Rattus norvegicus: one gene and its partner. The protein of the gene in region 1 purifies or fractionates together with the protein of each later gene. This does not show direct contact. Links are inferred from orthologs where the notes say so. Each region holds a gene or a part of one and is shown on either strand. Other genes may lie near its edges.

The links.
Region 2: the proteins of Arhgef7 (region 1) and Pak2 purify together in Homo sapiens (co-immunoprecipitation; 5 studies listed by BioGRID and IntAct, with this or other methods). This does not show direct contact. The link is inferred for Rattus norvegicus from reciprocal best matches to the Homo sapiens genes ARHGEF7 and PAK2.

The regions. Positions count from the first base shown.
Region 1 is NC_086034.1:84,372,566-84,376,999, forward strand, and holds the end of Arhgef7 (rho guanine nucleotide exchange factor 7), read right to left. Parts: intron 4,037-4,434; coding exon 3,937-4,036; intron 3,696-3,936; coding exon 3,641-3,695; intron 2,737-3,640; coding exon 2,614-2,736; 3' UTR 562-2,613; downstream 1-561. UniProt on the Homo sapiens protein: Acts as a RAC1 guanine nucleotide exchange factor (GEF) and can induce membrane ruffling. Functions in cell migration, attachment and cell spreading. Promotes targeting of RAC1 to focal adhesions. May function as a positive regulator of apoptosis.
Region 2 is NC_086029.1:82,211,399-82,215,778, forward strand, and holds the start of Pak2 (serine/threonine-protein kinase PAK 2), read left to right. Parts: upstream 1-1,536; 5' UTR 1,537-1,757; intron 1,758-3,468; exon of another isoform or gene 3,469-3,585; intron 3,586-4,380. UniProt on the Homo sapiens protein: Serine/threonine protein kinase that plays a role in a variety of different signaling pathways including cytoskeleton regulation, cell motility, cell cycle progression, apoptosis or proliferation.

The DNA of each region.
Region 1 (4,434 bases):
TGCCTCCTTCCCTGAGCGTCCAGGCACCATGTCATAAATGTAAGGCCAGAGTATCCCAGGCCCGTGCCTGCAGCTCCTAGCTTTGCAGTTCTGACTGGCAGCTTTTCCCAACGTTGAGGGTGTCTCCCAACCCTCTGGACTGGAGCAAGAGACACGCTCACCAGGGACACGCCCAGCCTCCAGGAAGTGTCAGAGAGCGCTCTGACCTAACGGCACACAGTAATACTCTTGTCACAAGGCGATTCTTGTGACACCAGATTCCTCCAGAACACGGAATCCACGCAATGGCCCACATCCTAACTGCAGTTGTTATTCCAACTTGATGGACCCTTAAATACTCCCACAAGATTTCAACAGTAAGGGGTTAGGGATTTAGCTCAGTGGTGGAGCGCTTGCCTAGCAAGCGCAAGGCCCTGGGTTCTGTCCCCAGCTTCAAAAAAAAAAAAAAAAAGATTTCAACAGTATTTTCCTGCATTGAACACATGAGGATTTTCAAACCTAAAAAGCCAAGATACACACACACAGGGAGAGCGTCTCAAGGAAGATGGAGCAACACATTGGTGAGATAGGAAAATAAGGAGTTTAATAATTGGAGGGGGCAGCACACACACTGCAGCAGTCACACCGGTGCGGTCTGCCAGCACCGGCTCCTGCAGTGTCGCAGGGAAGGAGGGGTTGGCATGAGGTGCACAGGGAGCGTGGGCAACAACTGGGAGGGAAGAGTGGAGCTTCAGAGGCTGCACGCAGCAGCATGGTTCAGAACGGAAAGTGCTTCACTAGAGGACAGGAAATGGCTTAATCCCCCTCATCCCTCACAGAGCGCGGAGGAGTTGGAGTTGGTGAGAGGCACCCTGTGCTGTGGGTGTCAGAGCTCCACCGCAGAGATGCAGGAGGAGAACGGGGTGTGTGCCAGCTTTAAAAAGGACTGCTCCGGGTGCAGATTCTCGCTCCCTGAGAGCCTGGAAGACACTGGATCTCAGAAGGACAGGGTGGCGTGCTGACACAACGCTACCACCCTGTCCAGGGTAGGGATACTCATGGAAGTCTCCAAGCGAATCATTAAGGCAGGTCTGTAAAAACTGTCCTTGGGGCCTGCACAGCCACCTCGGCGGGGTGAGGACCGCGTCAGAGATGGTCTTCGCTTGCTCTTGGCGGAGGAGCTGTCCAGCAACCCCAGGCACCAGTCGCCAGCAGTGGAGTTGCAAGGAGCGTTGTTCCTGAGGTGAGGTCCACTGTGACAGCGAACACACTGTCCTCTGCTGTAGTGTCTTTTGGGTCGGAGAGTGCTTGGGAAGCAGGGCTTACCAAAGAGAAAGAACACCTCAGCTTTTCTCACCCGGCACAGACTGGGCTGGTAAAATGCTAACAGGAGCGGGAGGCTCTGGTGGATCCTGACAGACGCTGCACCCAGCCAGAGTGTGGAGGAAGGAGAGCACAAAGGGCCTCCACACACCCACTCAGAAACCTGCACGGAGGACGAGCGGCCAGGAGCTGGGTCACAACCTAGGCTATGCTGAGGCCCCAGCCACACTGCTCCTCAGTGTTTAAAGACAAACACCTTTCTATGGGGAAGTATCTCTGACTTCAAAACAACCTCTTTGGAGAAAGGAAGGGGACAGCTAAGCTCCTGAGGTCACTGTCACTGTTGCCAAATCAAGGGCAAGCCTGGCCCAACAGAAGCAGGGCCTCTTGGAAGCCACCAGCCTTCCAGGGCCCATCTGGGCCTGGGGAGGCAGCAAGGGAGGGCGGGGGCACAGCACTGAGGCTCTCCGCGCTGCTCCAGTGCGGTGTGTATTGCTTTAGTCTTGCTCAGGGTTAAGAGGGCTCTCAGTGGCCTGGACAACGCTGGCTGCAGCCAAAGGCAGAGCAGAGGTTGTGGATGAAAACGGCCTGCAGCCAAACCCTGCCCGGCAGCACCGGCTAAAGAATATGGAATAAATAACACAACTATGTACAGGGCCAAGATACACCAGGCTAGCCCACTACTCCACACTGTGACCCAGGGCCCAGGCAGGACAGCGCAGCAGAGGCGGGCACCAGTCTCACCCTCCTAGAACCCATGGTGCCCTGGGTACTGCCGTAGCTCGGGACTGGAATACTGCAGTTAAAAGAGACACACAAATCCACTGTGCCTGAGTGCCTGCTCCTGATGGCACCAAGGAGCCTACACTGCACACGAGTCAGATGCTGCCCGGGCATCCCTTCACCTCTCTGCTTCCAACACTTTAGGAACACAACTTCAGATCCCTGTGGCCAGAAAGGCTGAGAAGGAAATCCTAGCAAGAGGGTTAGCCTAGTCACCTCTCAGGTACATGTTCATTCAGATCTCAGTATTTACAAGGAGTACACAGGTAAGCTATTTATAGATTCAACTCAAGTCCCAAAGCCGAGGACTCTGGTCAGTCACTGCAGGGAGAGGTGTACAGCGAGGTGCTCACTCAGCCCAGGCCTCGGTGTCTAGAACTCACATGTAGCTACTTCAGCAACAGCTCATCACTGCTGCTTGCCTTTTGAAGACCACCTCCTTAGTCCTGAATGTCACTGTGCTGGGGACCAAGGGCCCCAGCCTTGTCCAGGAGCTGCTGGTCTTCAGCCTATGAGAATGAAGTCAGCCTATAGATTGGTCTCATCCCAAGCAGGGTCGTTCATGTTCTTTAGAACCTTCCTCACCAGCTTCTCTAGGTCCTTGCGGGCCCTCTGTTCCTCCTCTAAGGATTTCTTCATCTTCTTGTTATCCTGTAAGGCAAGCAGACGAAAGCAGGCTCACTACCTCAGCACCCACGGCATCCCTCATCCTAGCTCAATCCTTAGGTCGCTAGGTTGGGGGGGGCGGGCTGGCCAACGAAACTGAACCGTGAATGTACTCTGAAGAGTAACGGCCATCTCCCACTTACACGCATGAAGACAACTTGATAAAACTGCCTGCCAGAAGGAAGGGGCTGGTAACAGTGTCAGGACAATGTTACTGTTACCATTTTTAATTCCTATCCAGCCAAAAGCAGAGCAGAAGCCCCAGCAACTGAATGAAGCAGGTCAGGAAGGAAGGACAGCACGCTGCCCCAAACGTGGGGAAGGACAGACAGGCACTGCCAAGTGTGTCCAGTTACCCCACCCTCAGGACATCGCTGCCCTGTCCCTCCAAAGCGCCTGCACTCCCACCAGCGTTGAACATACACATCACACAGTGGTTCAAGCAGTGAAGATGCTTGCAGGGCAAGTCTGACATCCTGAGTTTGATTCCAGAACCCACATAGAGTGAAGAGAACCAACTCCACATGTGCTATGCCACATGCTCCACCCATGTCATACATACAAAGGAATAAAGCACAACTTAAAGTTAGGCAAAAGACTGTCACACACATAGCTGGCTAGGTACCACAGTGGACAGCATCCTACATCACTCCAGCAAACCCAAAAGGCAGCAGTCGATACCCCAGGATTGGGGTGATAAGCTGCCCTGTGGATGTCAGCTGAGCTTGGACCTCACCCGCTGTACCGTCTCTGCAGCCCTCGCCCGTCACTGCTCGGAAAGGCAGTGGACTTTGTGGTTCCGTTTAGTACACAAAGAGTTCCGTGTTAAACAGTTCCCCTTTTCTCCTATTAAAACCAACTGATTAAAAGTAAAAACTGGTTGGCATACCTGTCGTAACTCTTGGACTTCATCCTTTAGTGCGTACACGGTATCCACGAGGCTCCTGGAACAGGAGAGTGAGTAAGCACACGAAAAAAGACAAAGGGGCAAAGACTGGCCGGGACCAGGGCCACCTCGGGCAGCAGAGAGCCCAAGCTCTGCCTACTGAGTCCCCTTGTCTAAATCTGTAACTTCAGAGAGGAGCCCACCTGGGTACCTCAGGCTAACCCCAAGCCTAGACGTCACCCATGGGATGGACTGGGGGCGTGGGGGGGGAGCCATAATGGAACAGAAAGCCATCTTACTTTTCCTCTATCACTGTCTGCCCGTTGCTTTTGGTTTCTTCGACTATAATTTTCTCTTCTTCTGGAAGCAACACTTGTGGAGCAGACTCTTTGCGTGAACCTGGGTCATTAAGAAGAGAAGTCCCATGTGAGTGCCACTGAGGAACAAGAAAGGGCACCTATGTCACTACACACCACTTACACAGCACCAGTGACTACAGTAAAGTTTCTGACCGCTTTCCCCCAGCTGTCTGCCTGTCGGGTGTGGCCAACCAAGACATCACAGAGCAAAGGAAACAGCAGAGGCGAGCTGAGTAAAAACGGCCTCTTTTGCCAACTTTTAACTTTTTAGATATGTTAATCTCCAACAGCAAGAACCAAAGGTCTGACCACACTGCACTCAGCACACCAAGTTTATTTAAACCATTCTAACACAGCAGCAGCGCTGGGAAGGCCAGACCGTCAAAGAATGCATAACTCTCGTGCTTATCAATGAAAAAAGTCTGGCAACTGAAGAAA
Region 2 (4,380 bases), on another chromosome or scaffold:
TGACCTGCTTGAGTTTCAGTCCTGACTTCCTTTGGTGATGAACAGCAGTGTGGAAAGTGTAAGGTGAATAAACCCTTTCCTCCCCAACTTGCTTCTTGGTCATTATGTTTGTGCAGGAATAGAAACCCTGACTAAGACATCAAGGGTACACCCTATGTTACTAGCAGGTGGCTGAATGTAGGATTTGATAGGCTGCAGAGAATAAAATGGTACACACTAGATATGCACTTCAGAACTGTCCTAAGCAGCCATAGTACTGGTTACTCATCGTCTTGCTTCTTCCAGGATCATGTAGTTTATCTGACCTCCAAGTCACTCTGTATCCCCTTATCCTTCCTCTACCTGCCAGTACTCTAATTCCTCATCTTACTTCAGCCATCCAAGTGCTGGAATTGTATCTTGTACTGTAGTACTTCCTAACCTTCCCATCTTAGACCAAGCTGCAGCTACACAAGTCTTCTTGTGGCTTGACTGTGAGCCTGGCCTTCCACGGTTCAGCCATCTCTCCCAGCCCTACATGGGTCTTCACTGACCATAGCATTCCTTTTCCTGCTTGTACTTCCCATCCCCTCAGTCCTTCTAGGTTTCCTTTTCTGTTTTCACTTTAAATGCTACTTTCTCTGACTACTTTGTCCACAGTAATCCCCCAGGTTTTTTTTTTAACCTTGTAATGGGTATCAATGTTTTGATTATTATGTTTTCATATCTTTAATTTACAAAGACTAGGGGAAGCATGCCCATCCTCAAATCTCTGGTGCCTAATGGTGTCCTTTGTAGATATTAGATAGTGACATAGTTATGGAATAAAAATACATAGATTATGGGTTGGGGATTTAGCTCAGTGGTAGAGTGCTTGCCTAGCAAGCGCAAGGCCCTGGGTTCAGTCCCCAGCTCAAAAAAAAAAAAAAACAAAAACAAAAAAAAAAAAAAAAAGAATACATAGATTAACTCCTCCATTGATAAAAAACAGAAAAATTAAAAAAAAAATCTTTGCAAAGAGAGAGGGCCTAATTTAGCAGCATAATCTGGTTAAATTTGTAGGTTAAAAAAAAAACAAATAATAATAATAAAAGCAAAGTGAGCTGGGCAGTGATTTCCAGCACGCAGGAGGCAGAAGCAGGTGGATCTTTTAGTTCAAAGTCAGCCTGGACTAGAGTGACAACACAAAGAAACCCTGTCTTGAAAACCCACCCCCTCCCCAAAAAGAGCCAAGTGGTGAATGGATAAATTTTCAGAAACAAACACCCTGTATACACAAACATGTACGGATCAGGTGTTCTCCGTCAACATCTTCAGTAGGTAAAACATAACTGCAGACAATGCAGAATGCAGAATTAAATGAGGGACAGGTTTTCTCCTTAATGCCCACTGTCCCGGGCCTCCCCGGCAAATGACTGGACTACGGTTCCCAGCAGCCCTGTGAGAGCCCGCCCCTCGGGGCATGACCGCGGTAGGGGCGGGGCTATCTTACGGTCCCGCCCCGCGCCCTGCCGCCGCCCTCCCCCAGGGTTGTGGCCACGCGCAGAGGCAGCGGTTGTTCCGCTTCCCCTCCGGCCCGGGCCGTCGCCATTGCCGAAGGCTCCTGCCCTCCCCTCCCTGGCTCAAGGGGTTCTGCGCCTCACAGCCTCGGTAGCGACGGCCGCGCCCCGCGCCGCTCCTCTCCGCCCTGCCATCCTCCCTCTCTGCTCCCCAGCACAGTGCTCGCCCGCGTCGGCCCGGCAGCCCGCCCTGGGTCGGGCGGAGACCTTTCCTCTCTGGTAAGTGCGAACACCGCTGGCCCGGGCCGGGCCGAGCCGCCGCCCTCCTCCCGCCTCCGCGGCCTGGGCCCAGCGGCTCCGGACGCCGGCACCTGCGGGCGGGCCCGCGGCTCCGGGCGGTGGCTCATTGTCTGCGCCTTGGCTCTCCTCAGCTTCGACCGAGAGGAAGCTTGCGGGGCTGTGGGGACCCTGGCCACTGCGGCCGCTCTTGCCCTTCTCTCCGGCCGGCGCTGCACCGGACGCCTCGGGTTTGTTTCTGGATGTTCCCTCCTTTACCAGCTGCGTTCTCTGCAGCCTCGTCGCTCGGGAATCCTGAGCCCCTTAAGTTGAGTCTGTAAACTCTTCCTCGTTCTCCACATTAGGAGAAAGTTTTGCAGTGCTCTGGGAGCCTGTGCTTAAGAACAGAACTTAAGGATCTTACAGTTTTTGCTTGATCGTCAGCCAGGAGGTGAAGATTTGCTTCTTAAGGTTAACTTGGGCTGAGGTTGGCTTTTCACCATGTTTGGCTGTCTGAAACACGCGCGCCCTCACTCAACAAAAAAACGTTGCTGCAAATAACTTAGTGGACTCAGCCTTTTGAATAGTTCTAGATCAAGTCGTCCAAGACAGAATGTTTAAAATAATTACCATTGTGGCTTGGTGGGAGGCTCTCCTCATCCCGTCTTAATAGAAATAGGTAGAGTGGAAGTGAGATTTGTTTCCTCTTTGACAAATCACCAACTCCCATCGATAGCCGCCAGGTTCTTCTTTACAAGTGACCTGTGGATCTTCTAGCTTTTCATTTCTAATCTTTTAAAAAAGACAGCCAAACCGGTTAGGCCCAAAATTAGACAACGTCGAGCTGTGTTTTGGATGAAAGCTGTGCACGTCACGTTTTTCCCCTGCTGTGTTCGACTCTTCCGCTCTTATAAGTAGGCAGGATATTGAAATAAATACACAAGAATTTGCTCTGGGGAATTTTTTTTTTTTTTGGTAGAGCTATCCAAAAGAATAGTATGAATAAAATTAGGTTGGGGTGAAGGCAGTGAATAGTAATTTTTAAAGCAGGTTAGGGCATGTCAACTTTGCCAGAAGCTCTGTGGCATTTGTAGAACATTCTTGTCTCTACCTCAGTTCTTCAGGTGTGTGTGTGTGTGTGTGTGTGTGTGTGTGTGTGTGTGTGTGTGTGAAGGAAATATTTTCATGTACTTTTACACCCATCCTCTTTGCCTTTTCTAGTCAGGGCCTCATTCCAGCTCTGGCTGTTCTGACACTCTTCCTGTCTCAGCTTTATGTGCTGGGATTACACGTGTTACCCAACACATTTGGCAGCCTCTGTTTTTAGATCTTTCTAGAGATTAATTAGCCAGGAACACTATTGTACATTTACATAGGGAAGCTAAATTTTATATTGTTGCTTACATAGATAGATAGATAGATAGACAGACAGACAGACAGACAGACAGATTGATATGATATGATAAAGTAACTTTTGGGTTTTGGTAAAAGAGGTTGCCCTAAATTAAAAATGTTTTGTTCTTGTTTTCAGTAGTCTATCATTACCTTTCCCTCTACCAAGCTTTCGGGGGGGAAATGGTTTAGTATCAAGTACTGGCATCCTTTGGTGCTAGGAATTTAGGTGTAGAATTGTCAGGGAATGGAAAAGTACCTTGAAGTGAGCTTCTGCTATTTCTTTCTCTTTTTTAACCCCTCGTACTGGATTGAACCACAGACCTCCCTGTGATGCTAGGCAAGCCCTCCATCCCTGAGCTACAACCCCGGCTCTCCCTTCCCTTTTGAGACGTCCCACCCAGTTTCCCAGGCTGGTATTGAGCTCCCTCTCAATCAGGTGAGCCTTGAACTGGTGTTGATTCTTCTTAATCTCCCTCGTAGCTGAGATTGTAAATCTGTGTCAGCAGAATGGTTCATTTCTTTCCAGAAGCAGGTGTTTGTTTATTTTTCTTTTAAAACTGGCTCTTTCTTTTTTTTTTTTTCTTTTCTTTTTTTTCTTTTTTTTCCGGAGAAGGGGACCGAACCCAGGGCCTTGTGGTTGCTAGGCAAGTGCTCTACCACTGAGCTAAATCCCCAACCCCAAAACTGGCTCTTTCTTTGATACCCAGGTTTGTTTCAAACTTCTGGACTTAAGATCTGTATCAGGATCCTAGTAAGTGGGTTTACAGATGTGCACCATTGTGTTGGGCAAGCATACATTTTTTTTTTTTAAAGAATTCTTGAATATTTCACTTATCTTGGGGCCTTGATTCCAAATTTACCTTTTGAGAGAAAGAGATTAATTCTTCTGGTATCTTATCATACCAGCACTGCAAACCTAAATTTATAAAGTGATAATTTTTAGTTGATATATGTCTAATAAAGGGTTCTCATGTTTCTTTGATCTTTGATAGGCAAGTTTCCAAGTAGACTAGACGAAGGCTAGTTTTCTTGTTCTAAATGAGGGGACTTAGAACCTGTGCTGGTTAGCTAAAGTTAGGCTCTGAATTATACTTTCACAAAGGGCAGGAACTTGTATAGGTAGCCAAGTAGAAAACAAGTAGCTGTGGTTGAATCTTGACTAGCTTCATCAGTGTCGGTTAATACAGTGATAATGTTCAGTATACAGTCCTTTCGGTTTTCTGGATTTGGT